Linked DNA regions of Lonchura striata. The protein of the gene in region 1 interacts with the protein of each later gene in a biochemical or structural test. Links are inferred from orthologs where the notes say so. Each region holds a gene or a part of one and is shown on either strand. Other genes may lie near its edges. The genes, in order: RBPJ and SPEN.

Region 1 (8,082 bases):
CATCAGGAAAACAACAGAACTGCAACAGCACCTCTAGTTAAAATGTTTTCCTTCAAAAAAAAATCTGTATTCATACCAATTCAGAACTGTAGCATTGCAAAAATTATTTTTATTTATATATTAATAAAATCAATAAAACATTTTGAGTAATATAATCTTTAAATCTTCCTTTTTTTTTAATTATTTGTGATAATTCATAGTCTAATCAACTAGTTCAATCTTCCCTGTTTTCTTGATTCCAATAGGATGCAAATAACTTCCTTAGATGTCTTCAGCTCACAGTCAGTCCTACAGAGATCAGACAACTGAAAAGAAGCTGTATCTTCTCCTGTACGTTTTGAAAACATGGATATTTTTACACTTTATCTTGCTGTATTCCTTGTAATGAATGACTTTGTAATCCTGCATCTTAGAACTTTAATCTTAGAACTGCTTTGGTGCGTGCACACATTAGCCATGGCAGAAGGTCAGGGCAGCACAGCCACCAAGGTGGGGCCTGGGGAACCCTGCTCTGCCACTGCCTGTGAATGCTGGGGTGCAGGGGGCTGGCACTACCCGGTGTGTGGTGGGCAGCCACATGGCATTTTAGCCTCCAAATGATTCACTGAGGTCTGGTGGAACCTGCAGGGACACCCTGAGGATGAGAGGACTGATGGCACCAGCCATCACTGCAGAGGGCTGTGCATGGGAGGCAGGGCTAAGGCAATAACCTGGTGCCACACTTAACTGGTGGACAGGCATCGTGCATGAGTGGAGGAATGCTGAGTGAGAGAGGTTCAGAGGTGCACTCTTTGTAGAGCCCAGTAAAACTAAGGAGGTATGCAGGGTAATTTACATGCAAACTGACAAAACATTTCACCCAATGGAAAATAAGATACTATTCTGGGGTAGGGTGAGGAGCAAAATTTAATACAATGCAAAGTGTCTTAGCATGCTGTTCTAGAAAGTATTTAAAAATAAGAGGTTATAGAAGTCAGTCATCAAGCTGTTCACACTGTTAACCTATATAACCATATGATGCTATTACTGTTAACCTCATCTTCCCTCCCTTCTTCCTTCCTAATGTTTGCTATACTCTTTTCTTCTTGTCTTTACTCTAAAAGAACACTCTGGGAAGGGACTGTACTTGCTTTCAAGGCAACACCATAATGAGGCCCAAGCTTGACTATAGCCTCTGGGGACTGCCACACCAAGGTATACTTACACCGGAGCCCGCATTACGACATGGATTCAGATTTTTTCTTTGTTCTACCATCCTCTTTGAGACTACAACACACAAGCAAAAACTATTTAACAATGCTCCTGCTGCAGACTGCTAACTAGGGTATTCTTTCTCTTTGTCATCCTTAAGACAATGTTGCAAATTCCCTGAACAGTGTTGAACATCAGCATCCATTTCAAACAGCAGACATTTCTGACATTGAGCTGGCTGGCGAGCAGCTTAAGCGATAACTTTTGTTGGCACATGCACCACAGTTCAGATCTAAGAGATGCTCTGTGGGCAACTGCCTGTTTATTTGCTTTCCTAGACACGCGATTGAACCACACTGTACATCCTGTGCTTATGAAATCCCAGCAGGGTTGTATCACAGTACCTACCACTCAAATGTGTGATTTACACCACCTACAAACTACAACGTCTCAAGATAAACCTGCTCCTTATAATGAAGAGATCCAGATAACTGCGGTTCTCACTACCTACAGTGCTTTTTAAGGTCACTGAATTTTAAAATAGCTGGGATTTCAGAGGACACACTGTGAGATATTTTTTGGTAAGACAGGCTGATCTGAGACAGAGTCTCTTGTCCCCTTGCTCATGTCTCACATGCTTGTGCTAAGCACATAAGAAACATGGAATTGCTTCTACAAAAAAGTGTGCAGGTCTTTTGTTTTCTCATCTTTTTCCAAACCAATGAGGTGGGAAGCAGTTGCCAAATGAGAAGCATATTAATTAGCTAGTGTTGTGCCCAAAGGAATGAGCTTATGGGAAGCCCAGAGCCAAGGCTGAGCTGGAGAAAGTTTGTTCTGGACCGGTCAAACAAGCTGTTGAAATTTTTGGCCTGGTTATCGCAGCTTGCATCTCATGCTCCCTGCTCATGACTGCCCTTCTCCTCCAAAGCTGGGCTTCTTGAGCACTGCTGGCCAGCAGCTCCTGTCCTGCAGCACCATTGGTGGGACAACACTCCAGGCCAAAAGACCTCCCTGCCCACACCAATGGCCTGATCCTAACAATTCCGTAGGCTCGTGCTAGGCTCCTTGTCTTTCCTCGTCTTTCCACACAAAGCAAGACTGAGTGCACAGGGGAACCATATGGATTCCCAAAATGAAGCTGCTGAGATCCACTAAGCACTGGCCAAGTGGTTCTGTCCACAAAACATACATGTTGGTGAATCCAAATTCAAGGCGGTCCTGTCCCCCAGTTGACAAGTGAGAGTAAACTGGATTTCCTGCATGAACAGCCTTCCATTTTCGAAGGTGGCTAATGATTCTGAGCACCCAGCTGGAGTCACCTGGCAGGGCATCTGCTTGGAACACAGGTGAGGCCCAACACCTGTGGAAGTCACATCCTTCAAATATGCCTGCAAGCTGTGATTTTCCAAATGGTTTCTGAAGTGTCAGGCCTGATTCAGAGCCCTTTTGACAACCTCAGCTGAGCTTAAATCAAAAAGTCAAACTACTAATTTACATAGCAAACACAAAAATTTAAATGGTGCAAACCTGGTATTTAAATTTTTCTACCTCAGCTCTGGAAGTGCTTATATTTGTTACAGGCCAGAAGGTGAGGTCTAGTTCCCTGCGGTAGTGGATGCTTTTGTTTCCAATAAAATCAATAGAAGCTGTTCACAATCTATGTGAAATACAAACTTTTAGCAGCAAGAAAAAAATTCAATGCATAAACAATATTTAAAAATCCTTTAGGGTTATTATCTTTTCTTCCACCAGCTATTCACATGAAGTTCAAGCTATTGTTTTTGATTGGAATAGTATTCCTGGCCTTTTGAACTGTAGATAATTTATAATTTAAGAAAACAAAATCAATGGTTATTTGTTTTATAATGTACTGCTGTCAGTGATGGAAAGGACTACAATGGTTTCTATGATTATTAATTCTTCTAAATAATATACCTGCTCCAGTATCCAATTAATCTGATTATTAACCAAAGTGCCTTCATTGTCAATTATTAAAAGAGACCAGACACTGCAGATTATTGTGTGCTATATTTTTAGATTTTCCAGTTTGATTCAAAACACACTAAAAGAGGGGCCCCACAAAATAACCATCTAGAGACAGTCCATGGCAAACATCCAGAAACTATTCTTAACGGAATGGAGTTAGCATGAGCTGAGATAATTCTTTAGCCTTGGGAGAAGAAAAAAAAAAAAAAAAAAAAAAAAAAAAAAAAAAAAAAAAAGAGAGAGAGATGTTTTTAGGAAAAGATTTCCAAACGGATTACGAGTTGCTCTTTGCAAACAATACAGATTTCCAGTATGCATTGTGTTTTTGCCGAGAACTGTGCGCACAAGGGAGCCAATCAAAGTCCTCTTGTATCTAATGAGTAGGGGGAAATCATGATGGGGAAAGTCCCTTAATGACAGGAGACAATAGCTGTTTGTACAGTGACACGTACAGAAAACTTTGTCACTAAGGAATCTCTTGAAACGTGTTTTTATTTATCTGAGACATTATTCATTCAATTAGCATAAGCAGTGAAGCGCATATGTGGGCAAGAAATCTGAAATCTTATTCGTGGGACTACTGAAATGTTATTTTTCCCCGTAATTTGGAAGACAGCAGACGTAGAGCTAACATAGTAAAAAAGATGTGGGCTTTGGAACCTCAACAATCTTTAATCAATGTAGCATTTGTCCCGGAGTTAGACTGACGTGTTATACTAAACACAGACGAAGTTGAAACAGACAGAAGTCTTAATGTAAAAGGATTATTTTTCAAACTTAGTCTCCTAATGGACAATCACACCCGCGCCCCGAAGGGTGCTGTTACATGAATCCAGAATAGGGATCGTCTTTTTCTGTGGTCTTTATCAGACGTGGAGCACAGCCCGTGCGGCAGATCGCTCGTGTCCCCGTGCCCGCACTCGGCCGCCTGTGGCCACGGGGCTCGCTCAGCTGGCTGGGACCCTGCCAGACCCCGCTGCTTCTGTTTGCTAAACAAACGCATCTTACGCACTTCAGCTGGGGATGAAAACAAAGTTATGAAACCGGGTTTCTCATGTAAAACTGACTTCTACAAAAAAAAAAAAAAATATGTTAACAATTCCACGCGAGGAACCCGAGAGGTCTTCCTAAGAGCTGAGGCTCCAAACCGCAGCCCCCCGCCCTTTATTCACCGTCAGACGAAGAGCTCCCCGCGCCCCGTGCCCAGCCCCGCCCCACGGGCCCCTCAGCACGTGCCGCGCCCGCGGGCAGCACGAGGCGCGCGGCCCCGCGCGCTCTCCCCGCAGGGGGCGCGGCTGCAGGCGGCGGCGGCCGCGGGCCGGTCCCCGCGCGCCAGCGGCGGCCCCGCCCCCCGCCCCGCCCCGAATGGCTCCTCCCCCTCCGCCCCTCCTCGCGCCGGCGGGGGCGGGACGCGCGAGCGGGCAGAGGGAATCCCTCGGTTTCCCCGGAGCGCGCTCCGCTCTCGCGAGACCTGCGCCGCTGTCCGCCTGCCGGCCGGCGGCGCACTCTCGCGAGAGCGGCGCGGTTCCCACGCCCGGGCTGTTGTGTCTGAGGGAGCAGCCCGGGCGCTGAGTGGGCGGCGCGCACCGCCCCCCCCCCGCCCCGCGCGTGTCTCGCGGGCCCGCGCACGCGCGCTCTGGGCCGTGGGGAGGGGGGCGCTCTCGCGAGAGTAGGAGTTTTGGCGAGAGTTTGTGGAAGATGGCGCCTGTTGTGACAGGGTGAGTGCGGGGCGTTCGCGGCGCCCGCCGGAGCCGCCGCCGCCCGCGGCTGCCGGGGCGAGACCGCGCCGCGCCCTCCCGCTCGCTCCTCGGCCGCCGCTCGAGCAACGGGGCACTGCCCTCCGGACGGCCCGCGGGCGGGCCCTGCGGCGCAAACCTCGTGGGGCTGGGGTCCCGCCGGGTGGGCGCACGGAGGAGGCGCCCCGGGCGCCGGCCCGGCAGCGGCCGCGCTCTCCGGCCGCCCCGCGGCGCGGCAGTCCCGGCGCGGCTGGGCGCTCACTTTGCTCTCGTTCTCTCCGGCACGGACGCGCCGGTCGGGACTCCGTGCAGGGTCAGTGCTCATCCCGGCTGCTTCGGAGCGGGTCCCGCTCTGAGGGGTCCCAGGGGAGCGGCGGAGCCCAGCTGGGAGCAGACCTGGGGCTGGCACGGGCTCTTCTCCCTTCTCGCTCGCCCTGGCTCGTCCCGCCGTAGGCGTGGGTCCTCCAGGCTCCCCCGGCTACGGACGGGGAGCGCTCGGACAAAGGCGTTTGCTGCTGCGGCTGGAAGTTGAGCGCGGTGCCCAGCGCCCCTCGCACGGCAGGGCCGGCCGGGGCCCGGCCCGGCGCTGTCACTGCCGGCGGAGCGCTCCGGGCGCGCCGGGCGCGGGCGGCTCTCCGCCCCTGCTAGCGGGACACCCGTGCCGTCGGGCTGGGCGACCGAGGTTCCCTTTCTCTCCTCTCTGCACACCATTCCCAGGGCTTTGTTGAGTTTTAGCTGCCTTCCTTCAAATGCTGGGCTGCAAGGAAGGGTAGCAGCCTCCCTACGCCACTAAGCCACGCTGGATCATAATGAATGGTAGTCTCCATCCCTTTCAACCGCACTGGGTAATACTTAATCATGGCTAGCCAGCTGCAGCATGTGTCACTGTAATAAGTGACACTCTCTTAGCCACCTACAGCTGATGAATAATAACAGATCCACTGCTGGTATACAGTGTGCAATCACACCTGCAGTGTCACATTGCACGTTGCCATCCTTGCCACATCTTGATTGCTGCTGCTGCTGCTTTTTTTAAGTGCTGTATCCTTAATATTGCACTACGCTGAGCAAGTGTGACCTCCCTCTATGTGTTGAGGGAAGAGACAGGAGAAGAGCAGGCTGTATCTGTACTCCACCTGTTCCAAATGAAATTTTGTCTCGTTAAAGTATTTCTAGGACTTTCTAAAACGCCGAACTTATTTTAAGATTTCGCAGTGTCTGTGACCTTCTGTCTTCCCTGTGGGATTACATTGTCTACAGCATTGGCTCTGTGGTTAGAGAGCAACAGCCTGCTTGGGGGTGGGGTGGAGTTGGTGGTTGATGCTTTTGTTCTTGTGGAGAAGGTAGCATTATGGTATTTTGTTGTTTTGATTAGCTGCAGTAGTGTTTCCAATTCCTCACTCTTGTTTGTCAAAAAATAAGTTGAAGCTTTTACTTGATTTCTTTCCTGAAGAAGGTGTCTTGTGGCTGATACAAAATTTCCCAATTAAATGTTCTTTAGGGAAGCTAATCTTGTTTGTAAATGATTCCTGGATTGTACTAGTTTAGAGGCTAGACTTGAAAGAAGGGAACAAATGCTTTTAAAGTTTGCTATAACTATTAGCCTGTGCTCCACTTAGTAATTAAGTTTTTCTATGTTTCTATTAGTTTACTCATCTGAATATTTGGACTCCATTTCCTTTTGTTTATTGATCATTACAGGATTGTCAGAAGTGATGTCATGTTTGTGACATTAGTTTTATCCTTTTCAGATGTGTGTTAAAATGTTGACAAAACAACTGTGGATTATTTTAAAAACAGTGATCAAATAATCAGAACAGTAGAAAAAAATGCCATTTTAATGAGAGTTAAATAATTGTTTGTAGTTTGGGATTTTATGCTACCTTTATTGTTTAAGCCCCTAAGTCAAATAATTATCTGGAAAAATAATTTTGTTTTCTTATTGTTAAATATTTCCAGTGTAGGTAAAATGAAATATGCTACCTTTTGTTGATGTTGTAGTTATATTATATGAAGGAGCCTGTTTTTTAATTGTTTTTATTAAATTACCTGTTTTTGGAATGTGGTTCTGATGCTGAGTTGTCTGTGTGTATTAGAATTAAAAATTGATGATTCTGCAGTAGGTGGTTGTTTTTTTTTTTCAAAATAGTATAGGAAGTTTTCGTTCTGGGCTGTTCTGTAAAAACTTACTTGGACGGGGGGAAAAAAGTGTTTTAAAAAGCAATAACTAAAGAATGTAATATGCAAATCCTGTACTGTGTTTGACTAGGCATCACATGGGCACTCAAACTTATAGCTCTTTTGCAGTCAGTGTTACTTGAATGAAAAAAGTTGTTTTGTTTTTCTTTCTTGTGAAAACTATGTGCCTAAGCTTAAGTTATGGTACATAGGTTTATGCGGTGTTGGAATGCAATAGCAGGAATTTCCTGCAGCACTTTTGGGGGGCAGTCAGAGTGTGTTTGTGCTTTGTTGTTGGCAGCATGTGGCACGCTCGTGCTGCTGCCTCACAGGAGCCTTCTGATGAAACTTGTGCATATGTACAGTGTGACAAGCCAAACTGCACAGTGTCAGAACCAGATACAGTGAGAAAGTAAACAGAAACATCAGACAAGTAACTTAAAAGGAATTACTATTCACAACTACTGTTTAAAAGAAGTGGATAATTTATGGCTGGGATTATAGGATAGTATTTTTTGGGTTTTGTGAAGTATTTTTGGTTTTGGTTGTGTACAATTTAGGGAAATAGCATTTTAAGATGACAAAATTAATGAACATGCTTCTTTATTATATTGTGAGCGCAAGCCACTTGTTTTTAAATAATTGCTATACTGCAAAAACACCTGTAGGCATCCATTAGCTTGAATATTGCTCTGCTAGGTCTAATAAAGCCATAGGTCAAAGAAAATCTCTAGTGCTATGAAACTAATTTTATAATTTTACAGTGACATAAAGTATGGAATGGTATCTTCTTAGTAGCCTGGGACAACCTGATCTTAGAAATACTGGAAGTGAACTCAGAAATAACAGATGGAAATTATAAATAGTAGACATTGTTTTAAGTACTCAATTACCAGTTAAAATCTCTGTAACAGCAGTATACAATATAGCATTTGGATTATTTTTCAAACAGGTTGAGAAGCCTTGGAAAAGCCAAAAATAGTTTGAGTAG
Region 2 (7,907 bases), on another chromosome or scaffold:
TATTCAGTTGTCATAGTGTTCTTTTCATAAATACTATCAATGAGTGAGGAAGACACGTAAATACATTTTATCCTGACAAGATGGTGGCTGGAGCTGGCTGGCTCAAACAAAGGAACACTGAGTGTTTTCTGGGGCTCTTTGCTGGGAAACATCCTGCTTTTTTACAAAAAGCAAAGGAACTGGCTGTGCCCTGGTGGTGGGGAGAACCCTCGTGTTCCCGCTCAGATCCCCATGAATCCTGGCTGATGTAGCCAGGGAGAGGTGTAATATCCCCCTTTCCCAACACGTCACACAGAGATGTTGCTGAGCCAGACCTGAGGGTAGGAAGTTACGGTCTGAGCCAACAGAGTGCTGGTTGCTGTCCTTGTTCAGTATCTAATCTTTGCTTTTTGAAACGTTTGATGAGCAGTCTCAGCAATGTGTGGCAGCTCCACCGCTCGGGAAAGGTGCTGTGTTCAAAAAGGATAAACCTGCCTTTTGAAGCATTGTGTCTGCCCACTTCTATTTATTGGTTTTTCCTCCTCAAGGAGAGGCTGCTGTGTGGACCCCAAGGATGTTTTCCACTTTTTCTGCCCTTTTTTTTCCCTTCAAACTGGAGAGCTGCTAACTTTATTAGCTCCTTATATGGCAGCCTCATTTTCTCACGCCTTTAATGGCTCTCTTTTGATCTGTCCTGTTCTTGCCTTGCTTTTCCTGACATGAACGTGGTGCTCAAGCTGAGATGGGTTTATAACCTGCTCCCTCACTAATAAATAGCCTGGCACTTTAATCCTCTCCAGGCACTGATAAGAAACATCCAAATGTTTTAACTGTGGGGCTGGCTGAGTTGTCCAGAGATAGCTGGGCTCTCAGTTACACCCCCACAGGAGTAATTTAAATTGTTCCCTGCAGTGTGTATCCCAAAGGCTGAGGGCCATCGGGTCATGGAGAACGGCTCAAGTCCCCTTGTGCTCAGCTGTTTGGCCCCCGGGAAGGGCAGCACACAGGGCAGTGCAGCCGTATCTTGCCCCTGGGTGCTCATGGCAGGACACTGGGCTGGCACAAACGTGTGTCTGTTCTGCAGACACAAGGATGGTGCTGGTCCTTTGTCACAGCCGTTCTGGCCTGCTGAGGGGAGTGTTATACCTGCTCTGTTCTTCAGCCTGGGTCTGTGTTCTTTAAAATCTTCGGCTGAGCTGGAGGATCTGGTTACAGCAGCATCGCTGGTGCAGTTGCAACTAGGAACAGCTTCCCTGCAAAGCATTTGAAGAGTATCACCATGGTCCAGAGCTTTGTTTTGCGTCACCAGCCGAGCTTTGTGCTCCTCTTCCAGCTGGCTGTTGTGTAAATGGAACCCTCCTGGCACTCATCTGAACCTTCTCCTGTCAACAGAGTCGATGGCTTTGTTTGTGACAGCTCCCAGCCCCTGCATGTCCTGTGAGATGGCCGGGTGACAGCAGTGACTCCGTGTGAGATTCCCTGGAAGGACCTGGGAGCTGCTGTGCTTTACTTGTGTCCCTCAGAGATGCCACCCCAGCAGGAGAAAGAAGAGCTGGGATTGCAGTTGTAGCAAGTACACTCCATCAGAGGGAGAATTTATCATGGAAAAGTTGTTTGGCTTTTTGGCATTTTTGGTTTGGTTTTTCCTCTCCGAAATGGAGAGCCCGTTAAAGGTAGAGACATGTACAAACTGCTCCTTGGGCTTCCCACCAGGAAATGGAAAAATGGAAAGCTGAGCCCAGTTCCACACTGGAAGCGCCGGTGGAGCGTGTTGGCAGCGCATTTTCTTTGCACACGTGGCTCCATCACACGTTTTGAATAATAGATGGTTTGCGTGCAAGGAGTTGTTGGGCTTTTTAATTAATCAGTAGATCCCAGTTTGGCAGAGCCCATCATCACTGGGGAAACTGAGGCACCGGGCTGCCAAAGGATGGGCTTGCAGCAACTGGAGTTGGGGCTAAGGCTCGGGGCCACCATGGATGGAATCCACCTGCGTCAGAGATCTGATTAAATCAGGAGATTTGCATATTTGTTAAGGCACTACAGCTCGGTGACTTTGACCAGTAGTGAGGTGGACTTATTGCCAGAAGGTTACGGTGTCCGGCTGGGTGGCAAAAAGCAGCTCTGACAAATAAAACATGGGTTTGATCAATACCAAAACATCATCAGGAGACTTTGGCCATGGAAAATACTGAAATATGGGTTTGCTCAGTGGTGAAAGCAGTGAAGGCTTTTAACACCAACACTTGTGGGTGTGTCTTTTTTCCTGACTTCAAACTGCTCAGAGTCTCACAGTACAAACTGGTTGGGCATTTTCCTTCTGGGACATAGAAATAGGGGTTTTTATCAGTGCAGTGGCATGCTTCGATGGAAAAGATCTTGTGGGTTAAAGTTCTACGTTGCAGAGCTGGGGTGTGACATGTCAGGCAACTAGAGATGAGTGATCTTGGCACTGGGCAATTTTTTCTCCCCACGTTAATTAAGGAGATGTGCCAGCTCCCATGGGGGAGCAGGAGGTGACTCCTTCCCACAGTGGGAGTTTCTCCTGTGTGGTTTTCAGAGCAGCCTGGTCTGCATTCTGTTGGAGGAAATGCCTCAGAACAACACAGCCACCCTGCTTTGGTGGAGGGAGTGTCTCAGGGTGACACATCCTCCCTGTGTCAGCGGAGGGGAGCATGTGAAGCAGCCAAGGGGTTTTGGGGATCCCCCTGCAGCCTCACTCACGGTTCCTGCTGCTCTGGCCTTGGAGCCATTGCAGACAGCAGAGCCACGGCAGCACGAGGCCTTCCCTGCCATCTCCTCAATTAACTTTTTACTTGTCTGCCTGGTGGCCATGGCTGGACGTGTGCTCATCTAGGGATAAAGGTAGGTTGTACCCCAAGATTTTGGAATCCTTACGAGATTTGGGAGAGCTGTAGGTTTGGGGGTCAGCAGGGGCCCCTGGCTGGGTGAAGCTCCTTTGAGCCGTGCCAGCAGGACCTTGCCCTCACAGTGTGACCCATTCTGTCTCTCACAGCTCCCTGTTGCAACTCCACCAGCCCAGCATGGCAAGTCTCCCAGCCCTTCCTCACAGCCCCATCACAACTTGCAGAGCCCCCATGCATTTCTCACAGCCCCTCATTACAATTCTTTCAGAGCCTCTTAAATCTCTCACAGCCCCATTACAATTTTCAAAGGCCCTGTAATGAGCCTCACAGCCCCCCAATAGGACTCTCGGAGCCCCCCGTTGTCTTACAACCCCCCATTGTGTGTCTGAGTCTCCCACTGTCACAATCGTAATTCTCTCATCCCGTTTCCCACACCCCCACCCCAATTCCCACATTTCCCACACCCCCACTCCAATTCCCTGTTCCCGTTTCCCACACCCCCACCCCAATTCCCACATTTCCCACACCCCCACCCCAATTCTCTCATCCCCCCATTTCCCACACCCCCACCCCAATTCCCCCATTTCCCACACCCCCAACTCAATTCCCCCGTTTCCCACACCCCCACCCCAAATCTCTCATCCCCCCATTTCCCACACCCCCACCCCAATTCCGTTTCCCACACCCCCAACTCAATTCCCCCGTTTCCCACACCCCCACCCCAATTCCCCCGTTTCCCACACCCCCACCCCAATTCCCACATTTCCCACACCCCCACCCCAATTCTCTCATCCCCCCATTTCCCACACCCCCACCCCAATTCCCCCATTTCCCACACCCCCAACTCAATTCCCCCGTTTCCCACACCCCCACCCCAAATCTCTCATCCCCCCATTTCCCACACCCCCACCCCAATTCCGTTTCCCACACCCCCACCCCAATTCCCACATTTCCCACACCCCCACCCCAATCCCCCCATTTCCCACACCCCCACCCCAATTCCCCGTCCCCCCATTTCCCACACCCCCACCCCAATTCCCCCGTTTCCCACACCCCCACCCCAAATCTCTCATCCCCCCGTTTCCCACACCCCCACCCCAATTCCCACATTTCCCACACCCCCACCCCAATTCCCCGTCCCCCCGTTTCCCACACCCCCACCCCAAATCTCTCATCCCCCCGTTTCCCACACCCCCACCCCAATCCCCCCATTTCCCACACCCCCACCCCAATCCCCCGTCCCCCCGTTTCCCACACCCCCACCGCCCCCGCCCGTTCCGCGCACGCGCACTCCCGCTCGCGCCCCCCCCCGCGCGGGGCGTTGCGCGCTCTCGCCCCGCCCCCCCGCCAGCCCCGCGGCGCGCGCCCCGGGGCGCAGTGCGCCTGCGCGGGGGCCCCCGTGTGGCGCTGCGCGAGGCGCGGGCAAGGGAAGGGAAAAGGGAAGGGGAGGGGGGGCGAAGCGAGCGAGCGAGCGCGGCCGGGCCGGCGGAGCAGCGGGAGCGCGGGGGGGGGAAGGAGGAGGAGGCGGCGGCGGGGGCGCCGCGCTGCCGCTGCCGGAGGAGGAGCAGGAGGAGGCAGCGGGAGCGAGCGAGCGGGCGGCGCGGCGTGGGGAGCCGGCGAGGGAGCGCAGCCGCGGCGGAGAGCGAGCCCGGCGCCCGGCAGCCGGCCCGGCGGGCAGGGGGCCCCCCCGGCGGGGATGGTGCGGTCCGGCGGCCGGTGGCGCTGAGGGCGGCCGGGCCCCGCGGCGGAAGGGGCGGAGGGCGAGGCGGAGGCGGCGGCGGGCAGCGAGCGGCGGCCGGCGGCGCGGCGCGGGGGCAGGCGGCGGCCGGGAGCCGGGGCACGGGCGGCGGGCTCGCCCCGCGCCGCGCAGCATGGTCCGGGAAACCAGGCACCTCTGGGTGGGCAACCTGCCGGAGAACGTGCGCGAGGAGAAGATCATCGAGCACTTCAAGCGGTGAGTGGCGAGCGGGGCCCGTCCGGCCCGACCCGCGGTGTGGGGAAAAACGGGGGGAAAAACGTGGGAAAGGGGGGGAGGAGTGCGCGGAGACGGCGGTTCCCGTGGAGAGGAGGAGGAAAACAGCGCTGTAAATAACCCGCGCCATGGCGGGATCGGCGGCGCGGCCGGAGCGGGGAAATACAAAAATGGCTAAAAATGGACCCGAAACGACGGAGCAGCAGCGAGTGGGGCTCGGCGGTCGTCACGGAGCGGATCCCATACCGAGGATGTCGGGAGGCAGCGCTGAGCCTGGCCGATTTATTTTCCATTCCATTCCTTTTTTTTTTTTTTTTTTTTTTTTTCCCGATTATTCAGCGCTCGGACTTTTTTCTGTTTATTTTTGCCCATTTCACTGCGTTTCCCTCCCACCTGGAGCCGTGGAGGATGCTGCGTGTCCCCCCGAGGTGCAGCGAGCTGTGGGAACCGAAGCGCCGGCAGCTGCAAAAACGTGACTCTGGGGAAAAAAAAAAAATATCACGCAAACCCACGGAGAAAACACGGGATCCTGCACGCGGGAAGCACTCTGGACTCTTTATATTGTGCTGGGTTGTTTTTTCCTTGTTTTTTTTTTTTTTTTTTAATTGCATAGGTTAATCCTGCTCATAAGGAAGTAGTAGCTGTTTGCATGGTTGGGTTTTTTTCCTCCTCCCTCCGTCTTTCCCTGCGAGGAGGAGGAGGAAGAGGCTTCTCCCCCGCCGCCTCACCAACACCTTTTTCCTGTGGAAATGCTCTCAAGTTGATGCACCCCACGCTGGAAGCTGGTTTTTAGGAAGAAAAAGAGAGCAACGAGCTCTGCTCAGCTCATGGCCCCTACAGGCGCTTCACTTTAATCCCACCAGCAGCAGAAAAAAATGGATTTTGAAGCTTCCTTTAATCTTCCTGTGCTGGAAAAATGACGGAGCCTCCTTAATAATGAGTCACCATGGGAAAAATAGATGCGGTGACACCGAGAGAGAGAAGCGAAGGTCCCAGCGCCTCTTCCCTGGTTTCTGGTCGTCTTGTTGTGGAAGGACTGGGGGTCTCGTATCCCCCTCCATCCTCCTGGCCTCAGCTGCTGTAGCAGCCAAACCCCATCTCTGCATCCTCATCGCTCTGAAATTGCCCTGTTTTAATCAAGCTTCACCTTTTTTTGCCTTTATTATCCCCCTGAGCCAAGAATTTGCCGCTTGGTGAAGGCGCGGGATGGTGGATGTATATTCAGGGTGGTTTGTCATGTCCCTCAAGTCCAGGTTCTGTGACCCAGTGCTGTTTACAAAGCCAGGTTTTGGGGGGAAAACCTCGCTCTAGGGTTATTTGGTTAATTCCAGCGGTAGCTAGCTGAGGGATTAGGTGCTCCACAGTGAAAATCTGACATTCCTAGGTTTTATTTTGTCCAGTCCTCCTCCTTTTATAAGATGTATTAAAGGAGGGAAAAAGTTGCCATGGTGCTGTTGCTTGGAGATGGATGGGAAAAATGGCAGGCGCTGAATTAATTACCTTTTTTTGGTTGTTTTGCCTGGGCAAATTACGATCAGAGGTTTGGGCAGGAGCTTTGTAGCCAGGCATTTCCCCCCGTTTTTCCCAAGTGATTTTTGCCCTGGATTTGTGTGTTTGGATGAGGCTGATCTCACGGCTGTAAACAGTTAAAACACGCTTCAGCCCTTTGGCTGCAGGTACTAAAGCAGGGGGAGGGAATGGCACGCCGCCTCCGAATGCTAGTGGGATGTAACCACTGGAATATTTGTGGCTGGAAAAGGGGTGAGGGGCTGAGCGGGGAGCCGGGTCCGAGGCTGGGTGTGTAGGTGCTGTAGGTGGACAATGGAGCGAGCCTTCCTTTGTATGCCCGTGCTCGCCTGGGGGAAGGGACAGGCGCTGCACAAGGGCTTGCACGGCGTGGTGGGTTTCTCCAGAGGGAAGGGAAAGCGGCTGCCCGGCCGTGGAGGTGGGAAGGGGAAGGCTCCCTTCTCGGAAAGGACGCTGTAGTCGGGAGAGAAGGTCTTTTCGGATGGAGCGGGGCTTGGCAGAGCCCGGTTCCCACCCATCCCCCAGCCTGGGAATAGGGCGAAGCGTGTGCGGGGAGGCTGAGCCATGGGAGCGGGGCGAGGTTTGGGGGAAAACCGCCTCAAACCTCAACTGGGCTGCGGCCGGGAATCGCCTCACCCCCGGAGCCTCTGTGCAGCTCACCCGAGTGTTTGTTTTTCCACTGGGCTTGGGAGATGCTGTCCTTCCCAGATGGAAGCCCGTTTTCGCTGGGTTGTTGCGCGGTCCCTGCTAGGCACGAGTTTGAGAAACGACCATTTTTGTTTCCAAACAAGCAAAAATTCAGGGAAAACTCCTAAAACTTACAGCTCTGCAGGAGTATGGAGGGTTTGCTGCCTCTCCTCCCCCTTCACTTAACCACCGACTGTGGGAACTTTGCTGGGATTTGCAGCCTCACAAGGAATTCTATAAAGGGATGAATTAAGAATTGTGAAGAAATATATGTTTTTATTATTTTTCCCCAAATGCTTCTGATTGGTTTGTTTAGTTTAGTGAGGTGAATGGAAGTAACACTCCCTAGTATGGATTCTTCTCTCAAATTAGAGAATACTGAAGCTGGTCTCGAGAAGCACTGGCTTACATGAGCAGTGCTATTTTTTTCCTTAGAAGCCCTTTTTAAAATCTGTTTCTCTGATATTAAAGGGGATTGCAAAGGAGAGATTTTTCCATGCAATTCAATACATTGAAATTGTCTTTTAGTTTCTTACCCAAATACTCCCTTTGCAAAAACAAATGCTCTATATTTCCTTTCAACTGAGCTGTTAAGGCACCCTGAAATAGAAATGCAGCCAGTGCCAGGATTGGAGATCCACTGTTCAGGTGGAATGAGTAGCAAATCTGAGTTATGATCTGGGAGATGTGAGCTTGGGGAAGTGGTGGGAGCAGGGGTTTGGGTTCACCTAATTAATGCTGGAATTAAACCCGTCGTTTACCATCACTGAAACAGATGCTCAGCAGCTTGCAGAACAAGGCGACTAAATATAGTAACACTTGTCCCCAACACAAGTGCTGCCCTTCCATATTTTTTTCCTCCCTGTGTTTTCTTC

What was found.
Region 2: the proteins of RBPJ (region 1) and SPEN form a complex in vitro, tested with the Homo sapiens proteins (2 studies listed by BioGRID and IntAct). The link is inferred for Lonchura striata from reciprocal best matches to the Homo sapiens genes RBPJ and SPEN.

What each region holds. Positions count from the first base shown.
Region 1 is NC_134606.1:18,657,183-18,665,264, forward strand, and holds the start of RBPJ (recombining binding protein suppressor of hairless), read left to right. Parts: upstream 1-4,835; 5' UTR 4,836-4,875; coding exon 4,876-4,895; intron 4,896-8,082. UniProt on the Homo sapiens protein: Transcriptional regulator that plays a central role in Notch signaling, a signaling pathway involved in cell-cell communication that regulates a broad spectrum of cell-fate determinations.
Region 2 is NC_134626.1:6,442,812-6,450,718, forward strand, and holds the start of SPEN (msx2-interacting protein), read left to right. Parts: upstream 1-4,662; 5' UTR 4,663-4,717; coding exon 4,718-4,800; intron 4,801-7,907. UniProt on the Homo sapiens protein: May serve as a nuclear matrix platform that organizes and integrates transcriptional responses. In osteoblasts, supports transcription activation: synergizes with RUNX2 to enhance FGFR2-mediated activation of the osteocalcin FGF-responsive element (OCFRE).